Linked DNA regions of Caenorhabditis elegans. The protein of the gene in region 2 purifies or fractionates together with the protein of the main gene of each other region. This does not show direct contact. Each region holds a gene or a part of one and is shown on either strand. Other genes may lie near its edges. The genes, in order: acdh-12 and sucg-1.

Region 1 (4,945 bases), on a different chromosome or scaffold from region 2:
CAAGAATATCAACGACTCTAGCTTCAGATTTCAATTTTCCTTCTGCTGAAAGTGGTTGATAGACTTCAATATATTGTTCTCCGTGAAGAACTCTAAAATGATTAAACATGTGTTTTCAAGAAATCTTATAAGAAAAACCTCTGAAGATCAAATTCAACTCCTGGCCAATCCATCAAAGTGTGAGCTTGAAATCCTGGAGCAACAATGTACGATGGAAGCACTTTAAAGTCTTCATGGTTCTCATAAACGTAGCACAAATCTTCTTTCGCTCGAGCACCAACTAAATGAAATTATTAATCACTATTCAAAAGGTCTTAGAAAAAATTACCTCCAAGAGCATAAATAATAGCATCTCTGGTAGAATATGAGAACTCGCATGGCTCTGCCACATGTGCGCAAGCAGTTTTCTTATCCATTTTTAAGTATTTGTCGGAGAAGAAACAAAAACCAAATAATGAAATAGAAAATGCCAATACCTAACAAGGAATCGGTACAGTGTAGTCTTGACCCCATGTGTTGATAAGACTACGCTGCAGACTACATAACGAGGGTGAAATCAATAGTTTTTTTTTAAAAATAAGCACTAAAAGAATTATTACCACATACTGATAATTATTAGATGTTTTAAATAATTTGCAAAAAAAGTATACAAGGCTTTAAATTTCAATTAAAAAATATATAAAAACTAGACTTTTGTCGGGAGAGATGTACAACGTGTTCATAGTATACTATAGTATTTGGGTTTCAACTTATAGAAAATGATCGAATAAATTTCCTTCGTTTTGAATTTTGAAGCGAAGCACGCACAAAAATTAATAGACCAGTTTCAGATTTCTCTTAATTCAGAAACATTCATCAAATACCTATGACGCCTTGTCGTCTGTTCAATAAAATTAACATGGAAGGTCGATTTATTTTTTCCGATATTTAAACAACCAAGGATTGTTTGTCGACTGTTAAATAGCTAAATTACAGTATCCATTCTACGAACCATTTCTCTTTCTTTAATTAAAAAAATAAAGCTTATTTTTTCGCGTAAAAGCCTTCCGAAAAATTCACACGTTTTCAAACTTGTGCATTCGCTAAATTAGTTTATATTTTCACTCGTTCACTTTCGTACATTGAAAGAATTCCAAATTCCATACGGTTCGTTTCTATAATGTACAGATTTATTCAGATGTAAAAAACATTAAAACATGAGCCGTCAAATATAGTGCCGACGGTGTGAACACACCACCGTAACACCGTGACGACAGATTGCGGATTCATTTTTCTTTCAGAGTACGATGCAGAAAACTTCTGTAATTGTCGTTTTTTTTCTATTTTAATTTATTTTGTGGCCGTTAAAGATAAAATATAAGACAACAAGTGTTCATACGAATTTTTCAGTACCATGAGGTGACCCGTAGAGCTATAAAATCATGTTTTTCTTGAAAATTTCATCGAACCTGCGCTAAAGTGTATTTTATCACATTGTCTTTTCACTAGTGCGTAGCCAGGGCCGTTCAAAGTACATAGGGCAAAGTCTACAAGAGATAACAATGACCGTCCTCCACGTTTCCTCTCCATCGTTTGTGTATGTTGGCGATTAATCAGTTTATTATGGAAAATTTACGAAAAATACTGAGCAAACCATGTTTCCAGTTATTTTTAGTTAACTTTTAAACTTCTTATTTTATGAAACACTCTTTTATGTAATCCAAAAAAAGCAAAAAACCTATTCGTTCTTTTTTGCGTTCATATAAAATGCTAAATACTTTTCTATAAAACTTATTCTGAATTCTATTTATTTTGATTGCTCTTGGACGTTCAGTGTAAAAAAGTATTGTTATGTCTGTGTTCTATGTTCTCTCACATGCTGCGTCTCTGCTCTATCCACCGTTCGACCCCCAAGTTGTTTTCTTCACTCTTTATCTCCGTCATCGCTATTTACCCCCTACTGATTCACTGATTGAAACCTATATTATTGGTTTTTTCTTCCAGAGAAACGATGCTGTCAACGCTGAGTAAATCTGCACGGCTCAACCAAACACGATTCATTCGTCTTTCGCATTCTGCTGCTGCTGCAAAAGATGCAAAACCGAAGAAGGTCGCTGCAGTGGACAGTCCATCATTTGTCATGAATCTTTTCAGAGGGAAAGCTGTGACTGACCAGGTATTTGAGAATTTTAGCAGGACCTGTTCAAACTGCCAATTTCCAGGTGTTTCCGTATCCTCTGAATATGACTGACGAACAGAAAGAAACTCTTGGAATGGTGATGTCTCCACTGGAAAAGATGCTTGTCGAAGTTAATGACGTCGTAAAGTGAATAATAAATCTTAAATTTACATGATCAATTTATTTATTTTCAGAAATGACGAGACTTCTGACATTCCAAGAGCAGTTTTGGACCAATTCGCTGAGCTAGGAACATTTGGTGTACTCGTTCCACCAGAGCTTGAAGGTTCCGGATTCAACAATTCTCAGATGGCCAGAGTCGCTGAAATTGTTGGAGCTTACGATCTTGGATTTGGTGTTGTCATGGGTGCTCATCAGTCGATTGGCTACAAAGGAATCCTTCTCGAGGGTACGGATGCTCAGAAACAAAAATATCTTCCCGATTTGGCAACTGGACGCAAATTTGCTGCTTTCGCTCTTACCGAGCCAACTACCGGATCTGATGCTAGTGTAAGCTAGAATATTATTAATTTCTCATAAACTTTAAATTTATTCAGTCAGTTAGAACGAGAGCTGAATTGTCTGCTGATGGTAAGCACTACGTTTTGAATGGTGGAAAAATCTGGATTTCGAACGGAGGATTCGCCGATGTTTTCACTGTGTTTGCTCAGGTAATTTATTTTCATTTTTTGGAAAAACTTTCACAATTGATTATTCAGACTCCTGTCAAGCAGGCCGATGGCTCAACAAAGGACAAGATGTCTGCATTCATTGTCGAAAGAGCGTTTGGTGGAGTCACCAGTGGACCACAAGAGAAGAAAATGGGAATCAAGGGATCGAACACAACTGAAGTTCACTTTGATAATTTAAAAATCCCGGTTGAAAATCTTCTTGGAAAAGAAGGAGAAGGCTTCAAGGTGGCGATGAACATTCTTAATAACGGAAGATTCGGAATTCCAGCTGCCTGTACTGGAGCTATGAAACATTGTATCCAGAAGACTGTCGATCACATCACCACTCGTGTTCAGTTTGGAAAGAAACTTCAAGAATTTGGAAATATCCAAGAAAAGCTGGTAGAAATGATCTCGAAACTGTATGCAACAGAGTCAATTGTCTATATGCTTTCATCAAACATGGATCGTGGAATTAAGGAGTATCAACTTGAAGCAGCTATCGGCAAGGTTCTAGCTTCAGAAAATGCTTGGCTTGTATGCGACGATGCTATTCAAGTTCACGGAGGAATGGGATTCATGCGCGAGACTGGTCTTGAAAGAGTTCTCCGAGATCTTCGTATCTTCAGAATCTTTGAAGGAGCCAATGATGTTCTCCGCCTCTTCATTGCTCTTACTGGAGCACAACATGCTGGAAAGCATCTTGCCGAGCAAGCTTCTGGAGTCGGGGGCCTTATTGGGTTGGCTGTTTCAAGAGTTACCGGGTTTGTGAAATCACATTTTTAGAATTATTAAACTGTATTTTTCAGAGGAAACACTGGCTCCAACTTTGGGCAAGTCGTCGACGCAAGTCTTCAAGATTCAGCTAAAGTATTGGATCAGCAAATTGCTTTGTTTGGACAAACAGTTCAAGGATTACTCATGAAGCATAAAAAGGGAATAATTGGTAATAAAATACCTTTGAACTGCTTTTAATTTTAATTTTTGTAGATCGTCAATATGAGATGCACCGTGTTGCCGACGCTGCCATCAACATTTACAGCTCTGCCGCTGTTCTTTCTCGTGCCACCTATGCCATCAAGAACAAATCTTCAAGTGCTGATTTTGAACGCAAAGTTGCTACTTACTACGTTGATAAGGTAATTTTTGATAACTGCCAAATTTTAAGTTTTAATTTCGATATTTACTCTTTCAGGCGATGAAATCATCAAACAGATTCCTGAAGGATGCCGGAAGTGGTGTTGAGAATGCTTCGAAGGTAGCAACAATTGAATCATTGGCGAAGGAAGTCTGTGGAAATGGAGGACTCACTCTTCAACATCCAGTTGAATTGTAAATTGTAAACTAGACTTGTTTTTTTTTATCGTAAGAAGCTCTTTTAGCCAGTCTGTATGTATCTAGAATTGAATTGCCTTCTTTTTTGAATTTTCGGGTGCGAATATTTTATTTCTTGTGCTATAAAAAACGGAAAATAAATTTTATCAATTGAAATTTTATACACGAAATTAAATGAAAATAAGCGGATCGAGAATCTGATCTTCTCCATGGTTCTTCTCGTAAACTAGTCCGTCAGCAGAGTATTTCTCATTAAATACTCCTATTTGATCAAACCCAAACCATCCGGAGAATGGGTTCGATGGTTTTGAAATTTTTGGAAGATAACCTTTTGATTCACCGTATTTTTGAAGTTTTTGTGAGTACGTGCTATGCCAGTATCTGAAGACAATGAAACATTTTAAATATTTTTTATATTTAATTACCGTTCAAATACAGCTTTTATTTGTCTATTGATATCTCCATAATGTGGTTCTTCGTCTACAATAATTGCAGTTCCAGTTGATTTGTAAAAGTATTCAGGTCCATAATTCGATGAACCAATGAAGGTTCTTGATTCGGAAATCATGAATTTTGCATGCATCTTACGATCTTTATAAGCTTCTTGAGCGGTTTGTGGAATTAAAATGAACTTCTGAAATATTTATATTTAATAAATGTTCAAATTGCGAAGGAGATTTCGAATATTACTTAAACGCGAAATTTCGCCCCACGAATACGGTACCCGGTCTCGACACGACAATTTTTGGTTGATTGCAAACGGATGTGCGCCTTTAAAGAG
Region 2 (4,322 bases):
TAATAACTTTACGAATTAAAAAAAAGGAAATTAATTCCAGGAAACCTCACACTATCAAGATCCTCGATATAGTGTCCTCACATTAAAACAAAATGTGAGCTCACAAGCACGGCATTTAGGATGGGGAGTTGATCATTGTAAGCATATTACTTGTTCACGTATGAATATACAAGATTCTTCAGATGCTCGAGATTCGAATGCAGTTGATTTGACATACTTCACAGTTGTACAAGTGCATAAACTACGTTACGATTCAGTTAATATATTTTACGATGGAAGTCAACATATTAAAGCTCTGTTCACCAAATCTGCATTCGATGAGGCAAATCTGGTATCATGTCAGGTAAAAATTCAAGTTTGATTATCGTGTGCATAATTAATTTCAGTTCAATATCCTATACGATAGACCAAAAGGCCGTCTAGCTCGTCGAGAATTCCGTGCAACATGGAAGAAGCTTCTTTATGATAGACGGTATTTTGTGGCCAGTGTACGAAGGATCAGTGGAAGTAATGATAAGATATCTATTCTTCTTCTTAATATTTGCGATCCATATTGTTGGGCAAAATATATCAGTAATCAACCATTCCTTGCCAAAAATGTGTGACTTCTATAAATGATTTTTTTTTTAATTTAAATTCTAAATTCTAAAATAAAACAGGAAAACACAACGGTAAAGAAACAACAAGCTCTACGGAAAAATCCTAAAACAAGAGTAAATACCCGAGAATACAAGAGAAAAATGAAATGATTAAGGGAAAATCCTAGAAAGTAAAATTATAAACTTAAAATGAGATGTTTCGATTATTTCGGAAGAGAGGAAACAGCTTTAGCGGCGGCTTCATCCAAATTGTTGGCTGTAAGAATTTTGAGTCCAGACTTCTTCATGATTTGTTTAGCGGCATCAACGTTAGTTCCTTCCAAACGAACAACCATCGGCACATTTAATCCAATTTTGTTCACTGCACTAACAACACCATTTGCAATGGTGGCACAGTTGACAATTCCTCCGAAAATGTTGATAAGAACACATTTTACACGTGGATCAGAAGTAATAATTCGGACTGCGTTGAAAACAGCATCCTCTGTGACTGCTCCACCGACGTCGAGGAAGTTTGCTGGTTCACCTCCGTGAAGTTTGATGAGATCCATGGTTGCCATTGCGAGACCGGCTCCATTCACTAAAAATTGATTCAATTTTCAAAAATGAAGGAAGAAATAGAATTTGAGAAATAAATCTTACCAAGACAAGCAATATTTCCATCCATTCCAATGTAATTTAGGTTGAATTGGTGAGCATCGACTTCACGTGGATCCTGAAAACTAATAATGGAAAAAAGTGCACTTGAATTTTCTTACATGTTCCTCGAAGGTTTCATAAGCAAAGATTTCTTTTTGTCGATAAGCCGCACTGTCGTCAAAGTTCATTTTGGCATCGACACAGAAAACACGTCCATCTGCAGTTTCAACAAGAGGATTGATTTCCACTTGGGTAGCATCTACAGCAATGAACAGATCATAAAGGCGTTTAATTTCTTGTGCTGCGACTCCGATGAGTTTTCCCTCAAACTGAAGATCTTTGGCGATTTTAAGCGACTGTCCTTCAGTCATTCCCATTTGAATGTCAATTGGTGTCTGGAAAATTCGGTTATTTGAGAAATACAAATAATTTGTGAGACACACCTTGAAAATTCGTTCTGGAGTCTTTTCAGCAACGGCTTCAATATCCATTCCACCGTCTGGAGATGCAACCACCACTGGACCATTTGACTCACGATCCATAAGAACAGCAAGATAGGTTTCTCTTTTAATATCGACTCCCTCGGCAATCATTACTTTGTCGACACGAACACCTTCCGATGTAGTTTGTTTTGTGACAAGCCTCTTTCCAATCATTTCGTCGATCGCTTCGAGGGCCGCATCTTTTCTGAAAAATTAAATATAAAATTCGTCGGATTTAAAAAGAAATCGTTCGAAAATATATATAATTTATTCAAATTTTTAGTTTTACTACTTTTTCAAAAAAGCTTACTCTTTAGTAATGAATACACCTCCGATTCCCTTTGTTCCATTGATGAATTTGCCTTTGCCTCGACCTCCAGCAAGAATTTGTGCCTTCACAACGTACTCATGATCTCCTGAAATTTAATCGCTTTTATTTTTCATGAATTTCTAAAAACTAACCAAATGACATCCATTTCTCTTCTGCTTCCTTCCTGTTCGATGCAACGACGAAATTCTGAACGCTGCATCCATGTTTTTCAAGAATTTCTTTGCTTTGAAACTCCTGTAGATTCAGAAATCTACGCTGTGATTTCATCATTGACTTGGATAGGTTACCAGCAGCACGAAGCATTATTAATCTTAAAAATCCAAGTGAGAGGTTTTTTCGACAAACAAACAAGGTTCAAAAATTATGAGCTGTTAAAGGAAGCAGATAACAATTTAAAATTTTGAGCAAATCAAATACCAGGAGTTTTCAACAAAAAAAATCCAGAAAAATCTCGACCATTTAAAATTCTAGAGAAAGAATGGGAAGGAAAAAATCCACAAAGACTACACTAAACAACACGCGGCCGTTATTTCGGAGTATCGTTGGGAGCTCGAAGGATTATATAATTATCAAAAATAAGCAGGAGTTTCACTTTACTTAGGAAATTTTATTTTTTGCCAGAGTAAAGAGCGAATTAATATATATCGATATATATGTATTGGGAGGAAAATGTTTCGCAATAGAGCGCGCGAGAAAATGTCTCTGCGTCTCCACAGGGGGCGGGGCGATGGAAAATTGGATGAAAACGAAGACTGTGGCTAAAATCGTTAATAATGAAGATTATTAAACATTAAAAATAGATAAATGGATAGAAAGAACCATGTTCTAAACGCCTATATACATAAAAATAAGAAATTTTGAGATTTTTTTTTCGTTGTCTATATTTGTCAGCCGCATTCGAGTTACATGCCGTTTTTCAAAAATCTAATTACAACATTTTGTTTGGCTTTTTAACAGCTTCATTTGAACATCTTGATAGTTGAAATCTAAATAAAATAAATTCTCCGGACATTTAAGTCGAATGGCATTTTGTGACACGTACTCGCATAGATATAGTTTTACAGTAATCACAATAATTGTTTGTCGCGCCATTTTATTTTCTTATCCCAACCAAATGTTTCTTTTTTTTTTACATTTTTCAAGTCGGAACATGATGGCAATTGCTGTCTCTGACGATATAGCGTGTAAGACAAAGAGACTTAAACATTGATTTTGGACGAACAATCTCATTCATTTCTGCTCCCCAAACTTTACGACACTTGCCCAGATTTTTTATGTCCCGTTTGATTCGAGCAATTGAAGAAGAAAACAATTATTTCTTTCCTTCTTTCCTTCCGATTTTTTCGACGTTTGTTTTTAACAAAAATTGTAAATTATTCAAGATACTTGAAAACAAAACAGATCTCGGTGAATCTTGCCATATTGAAAATTAGTCTTTGTTATTATTTTTTTACTTGCTTTTTTGCAAAATTTTTCATGTCTTGTTCGCTCCAATTAAAGCGTTTTAAAATCAACTTTATTTTGCAATCGTTTTTTATTTACAATAGTTTTTACACAATTTACATAAGATCATTTAAGTACAATTACAATTGCTCTTGATCGAAATGATGCCCATGGTGTCCATGATGTCCATGATCATGGTGATGTGGTGGCCCTGGTGGCCCTGGCGGGCGTCTTGTTGGGGGTCCAGGTGGACCTGGCGGGCGCCTTGTTGGGGGTCCTGGAGGTCCTGGAGGGCGTCTGGTGGGAGGCCCTGGCGGTCCTGGCGGTCCTGGTGGGTCAGATGGAGATGGCTCATCTGATGGATCTACTGGCCCTGGAGATGGTGGTTCAGAAGGTTTAGGATCTTCTGATGGATCTACTGGTCCCGGAGATGGTGGCCCAGATGGAGACGGTTCATCTGATGGATCCACTGGTCCTGGAGATGATGATCCAGAAGGTTGAGGATCTTCGGATGGATCGACTGGTCCTGGAGATGGTGGACCAGATGGTTGAGGATCTTCGGATGGCTCTACAGATGGTTGAGGATCTTCGGATGGGTCCACTGGTCCCGGAGATGGTGGGCCAGATGGTTGATGATCTTCGGATGGCTCTACAGATGGTTGAGGATCTTCGGATGGGTCCACTGGTCCCGGAGATGGTGGGCCAGATGGTTGAGGATCTTCGGATGGATTTACAGGTCCTGGTGATGGTGGTCCAGATGGAGACGGTTCATCTGATGGGGCTACAGTACCTGGAGATGGCTCGTTGGATGGCTGAGGAACAACTGAT

What was found.
Region 1: the proteins of sucg-1 (region 2) and acdh-12 fractionate together in Caenorhabditis elegans (co-fractionation; one large-scale study listed by BioGRID). This does not show direct contact.

The regions. Positions count from the first base shown.
Region 1 is NC_003280.10:7,191,809-7,196,753, reverse strand, and holds acdh-12 (Very long-chain specific acyl-CoA dehydrogenase, mitochondrial), read left to right. Parts: upstream 1-1,983; 5' UTR 1,984-1,990; coding exon 1,991-2,155; intron 2,156-2,201; coding exon 2,202-2,305; intron 2,306-2,352; coding exon 2,353-2,668; intron 2,669-2,715; coding exon 2,716-2,829; intron 2,830-2,877; coding exon 2,878-3,593; intron 3,594-3,638; coding exon 3,639-3,775; intron 3,776-3,819; coding exon 3,820-3,968; intron 3,969-4,024; coding exon 4,025-4,165; 3' UTR 4,166-4,320; downstream 4,321-4,945. Other genes in the region: maoc-1 (MaoC-like domain-containing protein), read right to left, coding at 1-92, 139-280, 329-416; E04F6.4 (PLD phosphodiesterase domain-containing protein), read right to left, coding at 4,335-4,545, 4,590-4,798.
Region 2 is NC_003282.8:7,726,952-7,731,273, reverse strand, and holds sucg-1 (Succinate--CoA ligase [GDP-forming] subunit beta, mitochondrial), read right to left. Parts: upstream 2,362-4,322; 5' UTR 2,355-2,361; coding exon 2,183-2,354; intron 2,137-2,182; coding exon 2,031-2,136; intron 1,926-2,030; coding exon 1,682-1,925; intron 1,634-1,681; coding exon 1,358-1,633; intron 1,315-1,357; coding exon 1,242-1,314; intron 1,180-1,241; coding exon 803-1,179; 3' UTR 624-802; downstream 1-623. Other genes in the region: C50F7.9 (Poly-N-acetyllactosamine extension enzyme), read left to right, coding at 41-137, 183-343, 387-605; C50F7.5 (Basic proline-rich protein), read right to left, coding at 3,635-4,322. UniProt on the Caenorhabditis elegans protein: GTP-specific succinyl-CoA synthetase functions in the citric acid cycle (TCA), coupling the hydrolysis of succinyl-CoA to the synthesis of GTP and thus represents the only step of substrate-level phosphorylation in the TCA.